2 linked regions of the Arabidopsis thaliana genome follow. The protein of the gene in region 1 interacts with the protein of each later gene in a biochemical or structural test. Each region holds a gene or a part of one and is shown on either strand. Other genes may lie near its edges.

Evidence for each region.
Region 2: the proteins of LQY1 (region 1) and AT1G67700 form a complex in vitro, tested with the Arabidopsis thaliana proteins (one study listed by BioGRID).

The regions. Positions count from the first base shown.
Region 1 is NC_003070.9:28,421,174-28,425,494, forward strand, and holds LQY1 (DnaJ/Hsp40 cysteine-rich domain superfamily protein), read right to left. Parts: upstream 2,348-4,321; 5' UTR 1,998-2,347; coding exon 1,848-1,997; intron 1,765-1,847; coding exon 1,681-1,764; intron 1,568-1,680; coding exon 1,516-1,567; intron 1,381-1,515; coding exon 1,224-1,380; intron 1,122-1,223; coding exon 1,100-1,121; 3' UTR 557-1,099; downstream 1-556. Other genes in the region: HVA22G (HVA22-like protein G), read left to right, coding at 2,783-2,814, 2,902-3,144, 3,228-3,291, 3,371-3,577, 3,684-3,758. UniProt on the Arabidopsis thaliana protein: Protein disulfide-isomerase probably involved upon formation of a complex with HHL1 in maintaining photosystem II (PSII) activity under high light by regulating repair and reassembly of PSII complexes.
Region 2 is NC_003070.9:25,372,030-25,376,563, reverse strand, and holds AT1G67700 (multidrug resistance protein), read right to left. Parts: upstream 2,493-4,534; 5' UTR 2,472-2,492; intron 2,427-2,471; exon of another isoform or gene 2,376-2,426; 5' UTR 2,270-2,375; coding exon 1,997-2,269; intron 1,606-1,996; coding exon 1,468-1,605; intron 1,370-1,467; coding exon 1,283-1,369; intron 1,159-1,282; coding exon 1,111-1,158; intron 995-1,110; coding exon 852-994; coding exon of another isoform or gene 848-851; exon of another isoform or gene 838-847; intron 761-837; coding exon 754-760; 3' UTR 514-753; downstream 1-513. Other genes in the region: AT1G67690 (Zincin-like metalloproteases family protein), read right to left, coding at 2,834-2,944, 3,033-3,113, 3,186-3,290, 3,371-3,444, 3,677-3,773, 3,865-3,910, 3,996-4,093, 4,205-4,312 and 1 more. UniProt on the Arabidopsis thaliana protein: Involved in photoprotection. Forms a complex with LQY1 that is involved in the repair and reassembly cycle of the PSII-LHCII supercomplex under high-light conditions. May function in guiding the release of psbC from PSII core monomers.

The DNA of each region.
Region 1 (4,321 bases):
TTCCAAACATTCGACCTGTTTTTCTATTATTATATAGATTTAGCATTCAAATTATTAATTGAGATTTTTAAAAATTGTTTTTAAAATTTTGATTTTGTTTTTTCGGATTTTAATCTTTTATATTTGTTTTTTATTTTATTAGGATGCTAACTTTATATAATGATAGAAAATAGCCTACCAAAAAAAAAATGATAGAAAAATTAACCGGATTTTGGATCCAGCATTAGCCGTTAGCAATTCCAAACATTCAACTTGTTTTCATATTATTATGTAGATCTAGCATTCAAGTTTTTCATTCGGATTTTTAAAAATACTTTTTAAGATTTTGATTTTGTTTTTCTTTTTTTCAGAATTTAAAAAACTTTTCTTTAATGTTTTTATTTGTTTGGATATTAAATTTACATAATGATATGAAAACTAACCGGATTTTGGATCCAGCATTAGTCGTAAGCGATTCCAAACATTCAACTTGTTTTTCCTATTATTATGTAGATTTAGCATTAAAGTTTTCAATTTGGATTTTTAATAATAATTTTAAAAACTTTGATTATGTGAGGTTAAATATGGGCCACTATGCCTATGAAGAAAAATATTAAATCAAATTAAAAAAGATGATATGCTTAACTTCAACAGTAAGTAATCAATTAACTTTGAGGGTTCAGAAGAGTCATTGGCAACAGACAATGTATCATCACCAATTGTAGCGCAAGCAAACACACATTTGGTGGATAGAAAAAGGAAGAGTGAACCGGATTCAAAGACCTCTTTGAGACCGAGCCATATTTGATCCAGCAGCATTGGGGAAAATGGCAGGCGCTTTGTCGGACATGGTAACTGCTTTGAGGTCAAGGAAAGCTGATTCCATAACGCAAGAGGATAGATTTAGTATTACAAACTGAATCAATGTGCTTGACGAGGTAGACATGGTTACTAGGTAAGTACAAGAAGAAACATTTGATTGAACTCTGGTGGTTTTCTTTCACAATTACAATATCCATGTCATGATGTTCTCTCAACATGTTTGGTGAACAAAACAGCATTGTACAATGAAGAAATGTGAGAAGGGAGAAGAAAAGAAATGTTCCTTAGAGCAAGGTATTTAGTCATCGTCCTTGAACTCCCTGACCAGAAGAAAAGAAAAGAAAAGAGAAATGTGTTAGTATCTCTACAATGTGCAAAAAACAGAGTGGCTCCTGATTCACAGTAATCGTATAGTATAGTACCTTCGATCAAGGTATCGAGGTTGAACACCAGAGCCTTGACAAGTAGTGCAAGTTAAGGAACCAGCACCATCACAGTTGATACAGTTTGAGACTTCTTTCTCTCCTCCACCAAGCTCTACGGTCACATTACCACTTCCCACACACAATCTGCATTTCTCTGCTCCACCACCAAAGAAACTATTTCTTCAGAAACATCATAATATGTTTATAAACATTTTCGACACATCAAACATTTTGCTCTTACACAAATCCAACCAAAATGCTAACAAAAAGTTGAGAGAGATCCACTTACGAGCTCCGGTGCCATTACAGGGAAAACAAGGTTGAGTATTCTCTCGCTTAGCCTATGAAAGTGTAAAATCAAAACAGTGTTAACTTTATTCCACAGCAATGCACTCACTTAGAAGCATTGCCAAAACGGTATCAAATTTTCAACAATGAGAATGAGAAGACTCACCGCATTGTCGATTTGAGTCTCGTAGAACACAGGGATTCCGATTCCTAATGCGACGCTTGCTACGCCTACAGATATCGCGACTACCTAGAAAGATAATCAAAATCGTTCATCAATAAAAACTAGTGAGAAGAGAACAAAGTCTATATAGCCAGAGATGAGGATCAAACCGTGTTGGGATCGAGTTCAGCTTTGATTCGGGGATAAGATGTTGACGGCGACCGGAGATTCCTCGCCGAGAAAGAAGAAGGAGTGAAATTGATGGGACAGTGAATGAACGGAGAATGAAGACGAGGCGGAGATGGAGCTGAAACTGGCATTTCGACTTCTCTTTGTTTGGTATGAAGCTTTGCAGAGAATCGCTTAAGCGCGCGAAGATGGATGAGAGGAAGAAGAAGAACCAGTAGTTTTGGGTTAATCTCAGCCACTAGATTATGTTTCCATGGCTAAGATTTGTTCACGTGGCTTAATAAGATATTTAGTATTTATCTCCTTATCCACTAATCCACTGTTAACTGTAATCCAGTTTTCCGAAGCGTATTGGAGAAGAGGAAAACAAGATACGGTGTGGTGAGATACGATACACCCGCTTAAACGTAGACGATCACAACCGTCAAGTATAAATCCAACGGCTGATAACGTCTAAAAGTCGTGATTGTTGACTATTTAAAAACCGCACTGTTTCAAGTTGAAACTCACAAGTAGAGAACAAATGAAAAAAGGATTCGCAAGTCACTATCCGATACCGTTTTGCTTCGCCTTTTCTCCATCTTTTGTTTCTCCATTCGCAAGTCACTATCGTACGTAACCGTCGTCTATAATTCGTTCGAAATCATTCTTCTCATTCCTTTTTCGCCGAAACCGTTTTTCTGATAAGGTATGTGTTATTGTTCAATCGCTTAAACCGTTAATATCTTCTTCTTCATATTAGCCTTTAGGAAGTGTAATCGTTTGAAGGCATGCATCAATATTGTTTAGTTGATTGTTTTGTCTCTGTCTTTTTGTATTTTGGATGATATAATCATTTCAATGAATCGGGGTCGAGAATTTAATTCTGACAAGCAGATTCTTTTGTTTTTTTTAAACGTTTTAGCAGGTGATCACAATGATTGGATCGTTTCTGACAAGAGGGCTTTTGTATGTTATTGATCTCTTCTTTTAATTTTATAAAACACACATTTCTTTCAATCAAACTAAGTAATGAATCTTTCTATTTATTGACAGAATGGTGTTTGGATATGCATATCCTGCTTATGAGTGCTTCAAAACGGTCGAACTCAACAAGCCTGAAATTCAACAACTTCAGTTCTGGTGCCAGTATTGGTATATGCATACATTCTATCCTTTATCTATAACCTTTTTAGGTTCCTATATAAATCTTGCTTCCTTCCACTCAAAACATCTTTGCAGGATTATTGTAGCTGCTTTGACGATTTTCGAAAGAATTGGTGATGCTCTTGTTTCTTGGTAGGCTGTTTATATTACTTAGAAAACAAAGAGTTTTACAGTATTGTATATTAGTATTCTTATGTTTTCATGTTGTCTTGAAGGTTACCAATGTATAGCGAGGCGAAGTTGGCTTTCTTCATTTATCTCTGGTTTCCAAAGACTAAAGTAAGTAATATCTTATATATCTTTTGATTCAACTGACTTTTTCTCTAATTTTTATTACCTATGTGTTATATCATTTCAGGGAACAACATACGTTTACGATTCTTTCTTCAGGCCATATATAGCAAAGCATGAAAATGAAATTGACCGCAACTTGGTGAAGGTAAAGACTAGAGCTAAGGATATGGCAATGATATATCTCCAAAAAGCAATCAACCAAGGGCAGACCAAATTCTTTGAGATCTTACAGTATATCACAGAACAATCAACACCAAAATCTAAGGCTGAGGTATATTTATTTCTTCACCTCTCTACTCTTCTCTGTTTCATTTTAACATTTGACTTGTGAGTGAACTTCAATAAAAAATCTTGCTCGTTTTTCTATTTGTGAACAGGAAAAGAAAGAGACAACAATACCTAAACTCGATGATCCAATTCTTAAGGTGAAAGAAAACGAAGTCACTAAATGAGGTACGTAGAGTCATTCGAGAGGAAAACGTTAAGCCTGACTCGTGGGAAACTATTGGGGAAAACACACTGTACTAACTAACTATGCATCATCTTCTTTCTTTTAGTCGTTACTATGAATAAATCATGAATCTCAAATGTAAATTGCTTCGGAGAAAAATAAAAAGGTTGCTTTTTAACCAAGTATCATGAGAATCTAGCTTGATATGGGCCTAAACCCAAATTCTTCTTTCACACGTTTAATGGTGGCCCAATTCTTTACCAGCTTATGTCCCCATTCTCTTAAATCTAGTGGTGCTCCGTATACATCTGATTAGGATTATAATCTTAGATGTTTGAAAATGGGTTTGCGATATGGTTATGATCAGTAGTATCCATAACCCATTCAGACAGTGAAATAATTCTCATACATGAAATACATGAGTACAAGAGACAATTGAAATTTGAGTAGGATTTAGAATGATGTTTGAATATCGAGGTCTTCGATGGAATGATCCGTCAAAACTCGCAAAGTATCGCAATTTGTTGTAGATTAGGTTAAATGGGACGGATTAACCCGCTCTGA
Region 2 (4,534 bases), 3.0 Mb from region 1:
ACATCGAAGATATCTAACAGTTGCCACATGTGATGTTCTTTTATCTGTTGAGAATCTGTCCCATAACCTTATCATCAAATAATGTGAGAGTTCACAATCTTAGAGCAGATATACAAATGAGTGTTACGGGAAACGTTTTACATCGAAGATATCTAACAGTTGCCACTTGCCACCAGATCCAAGATGGGAAACTTCAGAGTTTTGAACTATCTAACATCTTTCTATGCAGGCAATGGATTAGTTACCTGACAAAGCTCTAATTTATTCATAACAAACAATTTATGAAGCTACACACACCATATTGCAATGTTCGGACAGTCAGATGTCGCCAATACTGCGCAGAACTAGATTTTTTACCTACTGGAGCAATCAGGGAGATTCTACTAAATCTCTGCAAATGGTCTTGCTCTCACCTTCACGAAGCTTTTGCATATCTTGTTCACAGTTCTAGTTAAGGGTTTCTTCGAAAGATATAGTGGGAAGTTTTCCTATTTTCGACTACTATTGTTTGACCAATGTCTAAGAAAAGTTGAAATTGCAAGTTGTAACCAATGGCTCTTTCTTTCAACAAATCTACAATACACAATAAGTTATATGTTACAAGAGATTTAACAGAAGCTGTTTCTGTGAGAGATGTATAGAGAAAATGTGCACAAAATAGCGGTAGTCTCGTCATATCCAGTGACCTTCTGCAGCCCATACCGAGACGGTTGAGACATCAAAATCAACCAACCAAGTGTCAATTGTTCAGCCTCAGGCCCTGTAAAACGGTTGTATATCATTTTGGTGAAAAACACCAAAATTCTAGTGAAAATGAAAAGAAGAAACATTCAGTACCTGTTTATACTTACTTGGCTTTCTCATCCGAGGTTTCTTCAGTTTTTTCGTCACTCCCCGGGTTCAGCGATGATAGCTTTCCGAATGACTCTTTTGCATCCCCAAAGTAGTCTTTAACTTTGTCGAACACTGTTTTAAGCTGGTCCTGGGTTGGGAGCTGCGATGGTTCAGGACAAAACACAAACGTTTCAGACAAAACATCTATAACAGCATCCTTTTGGTGTCACTGTAGGAAGTTTGAGAGCTGATCTCATGTAGTTAAGTATAGCTCACCTCAATAACATCTGAAGTACTAAGTGCAGCTCTCATGTTTCCGTTTTCCTGAATGTATAATACAGCCATAATAAGTGAAAACGAAACCAGAAAACTTTTCCTACGGTCTCATCAACTACAAAATGAAGCAGAGCTTCCAATAACTGAAGAAAAAGGGTTTTGAGAGCATTACTACAAGTTTGTAGCCATATCGAAACTCGGTGGCTGTACGCAAGACACGATGCTGCTTAATTGCTGTCTTTTGAATCTCTTTCTCATCCTGTTGAAGATAAAAACAATTAGAAATAACATCTAAAGAGACACATATTAATAGTGGAATCAACCACACAAGAATAAGCAGAAGCTTGTGTAATTTACTCTGTAAATAACAGCGGCAATGTTTCTTGCAATGGTGTCTTTGTAGATATACTTCCCCAAGAGGTTATCTTTTGCAGCAACCATGATCTTAGCAGTAGTACCACCAGCTATTATACTCAGAGGATACCAAAGATACACCTGTTCACGTCACAAGAAACACTTTTTACAACAAAAAGTAAAATGCTGAAAAGAACACTCGCATTGATGAAACCAGAACACAATTGCAATCTGATAATTGATCTAAAAGGATCGAATGAAAGAAAGTACATAACTTTGCAAACAAAACCAATCAAGCTAACAATTTTAATTCATGTTATAAACAAACACGTACTAGAACAAAGAGCTGAAATGTTGAAAAATCCAAATTTGATGAAACCAGATGATTTGCAATCTAATAATTGGTCTAGGAGTATCAAATTGAAAAAAGTATATAACTTTGGAAACAGAACCAAAGCAAAGCTAACATGTTTAAGCGTTTAATTATCTCCTAATCCAAGCTAAGTGAAGAAAGAGTGGAAAAGAGACGAACATTGGCCATACGAATGAAGATAACGAATCTTGGGTTTCCATCGTCTTCAATCTTAGGCATAGGAGGAGGTGTACGTTGATACTGACGCGCCGCCATACCTTTCTTTCCCTTAGCCTCCACCACAAAAACCATCCGCCGCTGCTGTACCGCCGTCTCTCGGCATGCCGTTCTTGAGCTAAACAGAGAGTGTCTCGCTAAACCAACCTCTTCGAATCTTCCTGTGTTCTTCAGAGGAAGCCGAGTTAACGCATTCAAAGACATACTCACTTCCATTACTCACCAGAGAAGATTCACTCACCACTAGTTTGTTTAGAAACGAGAGATTATTTGGTTTGGGGAAGATGATGATTTCGTGGATTCGTACCTTATCTACTTGTACCTGCCACGTGTTCAAACCAGTTTAAACCGAACCAGAACCGTACTTCATAAGGTAATCTGAAACTCTTTTCTTTTACGTATGTCTGAAACTACTTACCTTTAAGGCCTGTTACAATCCTATTTCCAAAGTAAACCAAAAAGACAATACTATTCTTGTCTTAATAAGAGAAGAAAACCATAATATTAGAATCTGTCTTGTAAATTGATCGAGACAAGTCCTTATCTTCAACACCGTACATGCTCAATGATGATCACTATGTTATATAACTCTTCGTAATTTGAGATTGCGATGCAGAGAAAGGTAAGAAACTAAGAATGAATGATTACAGTTTCCACCTAAACCGCTAGGTCCTCTCAACACATTAACAAACATCAATAAACGATGTCTCTAACAACCAAAGAAATGTTTATTTTCACCAGCTACCAGATTCACTGGAACCTAATGTTAGGTGCAAAATACTACAAACTATAGTTTGTCCGGCTAGCGATGAAAGCTTGTGTTGATGGTTCCCTTCCAAGAAAATTGGTGAGAAGTTCCATTGGTTCTTTGCCTCCTCCTGGGGCCAACACCTAATAAGAAAGTAGTTGTTACTTGTTTAGTCCTTTTACACTCACACACTACTAAATCAAAGGAAAGACAAACAAATACGCTTCTCACTTTGTCTCTGAACTGCAAGCCGGCATATAGATTCGGATGCCCATCTCCAAATTTTGAAGCAAATATATCAGCAGCATACACCTGTGGAAATAGGTGGATTCTCAGACTAAAGTCATGGAAGGTACGGATCACCACAGTGCAAATCAATCATACCTCACTCCATAAACGACTGTAACATGTTGCTTCAGAGCCAATTACAGCACGTGGGAAACATGAAGCAGGGTTGGTTCCTTCCACCACTGGTAGCCCTATCATTACCTATATATAGAAAGACACTAGTATGAGAAAATTTCTTTGCCGTAAACAGACCAGATTGCTTTGAGAGTTTATGCTTTTACCTTTGGATGAAGACTCCTGATTAGCTGGAGTAAGTCAGCATCATCGTCCGAATATATTATTTGATCAAATAGACCTGATCATCCATATTTCAAGCATCATTAGGCAATACCACATTTTACCCGCTAGTAGACTTCTTAGTTAACTACTGCTTCCTCTAAAGCATAATAAGAACCACAATCTACTCGTCTTACTAACAAACCATTTGTCCTAACGATTGTGAGGAATTGATATTTCAGTTTAAAAACTACAATGAAGTCAAAATGAAAAGGTATATAAGCATCATTAAAAGTCAATTAATATCTCACAGTATAATATCTCCTGAAGCGACTTTAGTGCAGAGAAAGAATATCGCCAACGTTTGAGTGTTTTGCAGACTTCATCCACAAGTGGCTTGGTGATATCCTGCAGGAATAAATCCCAGGTTAAAACAAATTATTATGACTAGTCTACGACAAGAACAATTGTCAACAATTTAGTCGTGAGAAGCGCTCACCTGACGATAACCTGATATTAACTTCAACGTGAAACTTTCGTAACACCTAGAGATACAAGAATTATATTCCGTCTATTAGGATTTAGTGTTAATACAGAAAGATTTTAAGAAAAAATTATCAGTTTACTTGCCAGTTTTCCAATAACTGAGAAGGAATCTCCCGAAAGTCGGGGTCAACACGTAGGCCCGAGAATCTAGCAAATGAAGCACGATTGCAGATATGTTGGACCTATTTACCAATAGTAGCAAGGAATATCAGCTAATAACATCCCCTGATACATACAAAAGATACCAACAGAATTTATTCTGCTGTTCCACGTAACCAATTTCATTCACGTACCACATGGCCAAACTCATGAAAAAGATTAACCACGTCAGAAAATCCCAATGGCACAGCTTCACCACTACCATCCTTTGCAAACTGTGCAATAAGCAACGCCACAGGAATCTGGAGACAGAAACAAAATAAATGCCAAAATACGAATACTAAAACCTTAAAATACATCCACATGAGATCACAATATCGATTTATATTTGAGTTGCATGATACTTCCACATAAAGGTCCGACATGGATGTAGGATTGTCACCTGACATGCACCATTGGAGAACAGTGCGTTATTCTGAAGAGCCACCACACAGCTGTGATTACATTTTCCTTCCCTGTCAAAC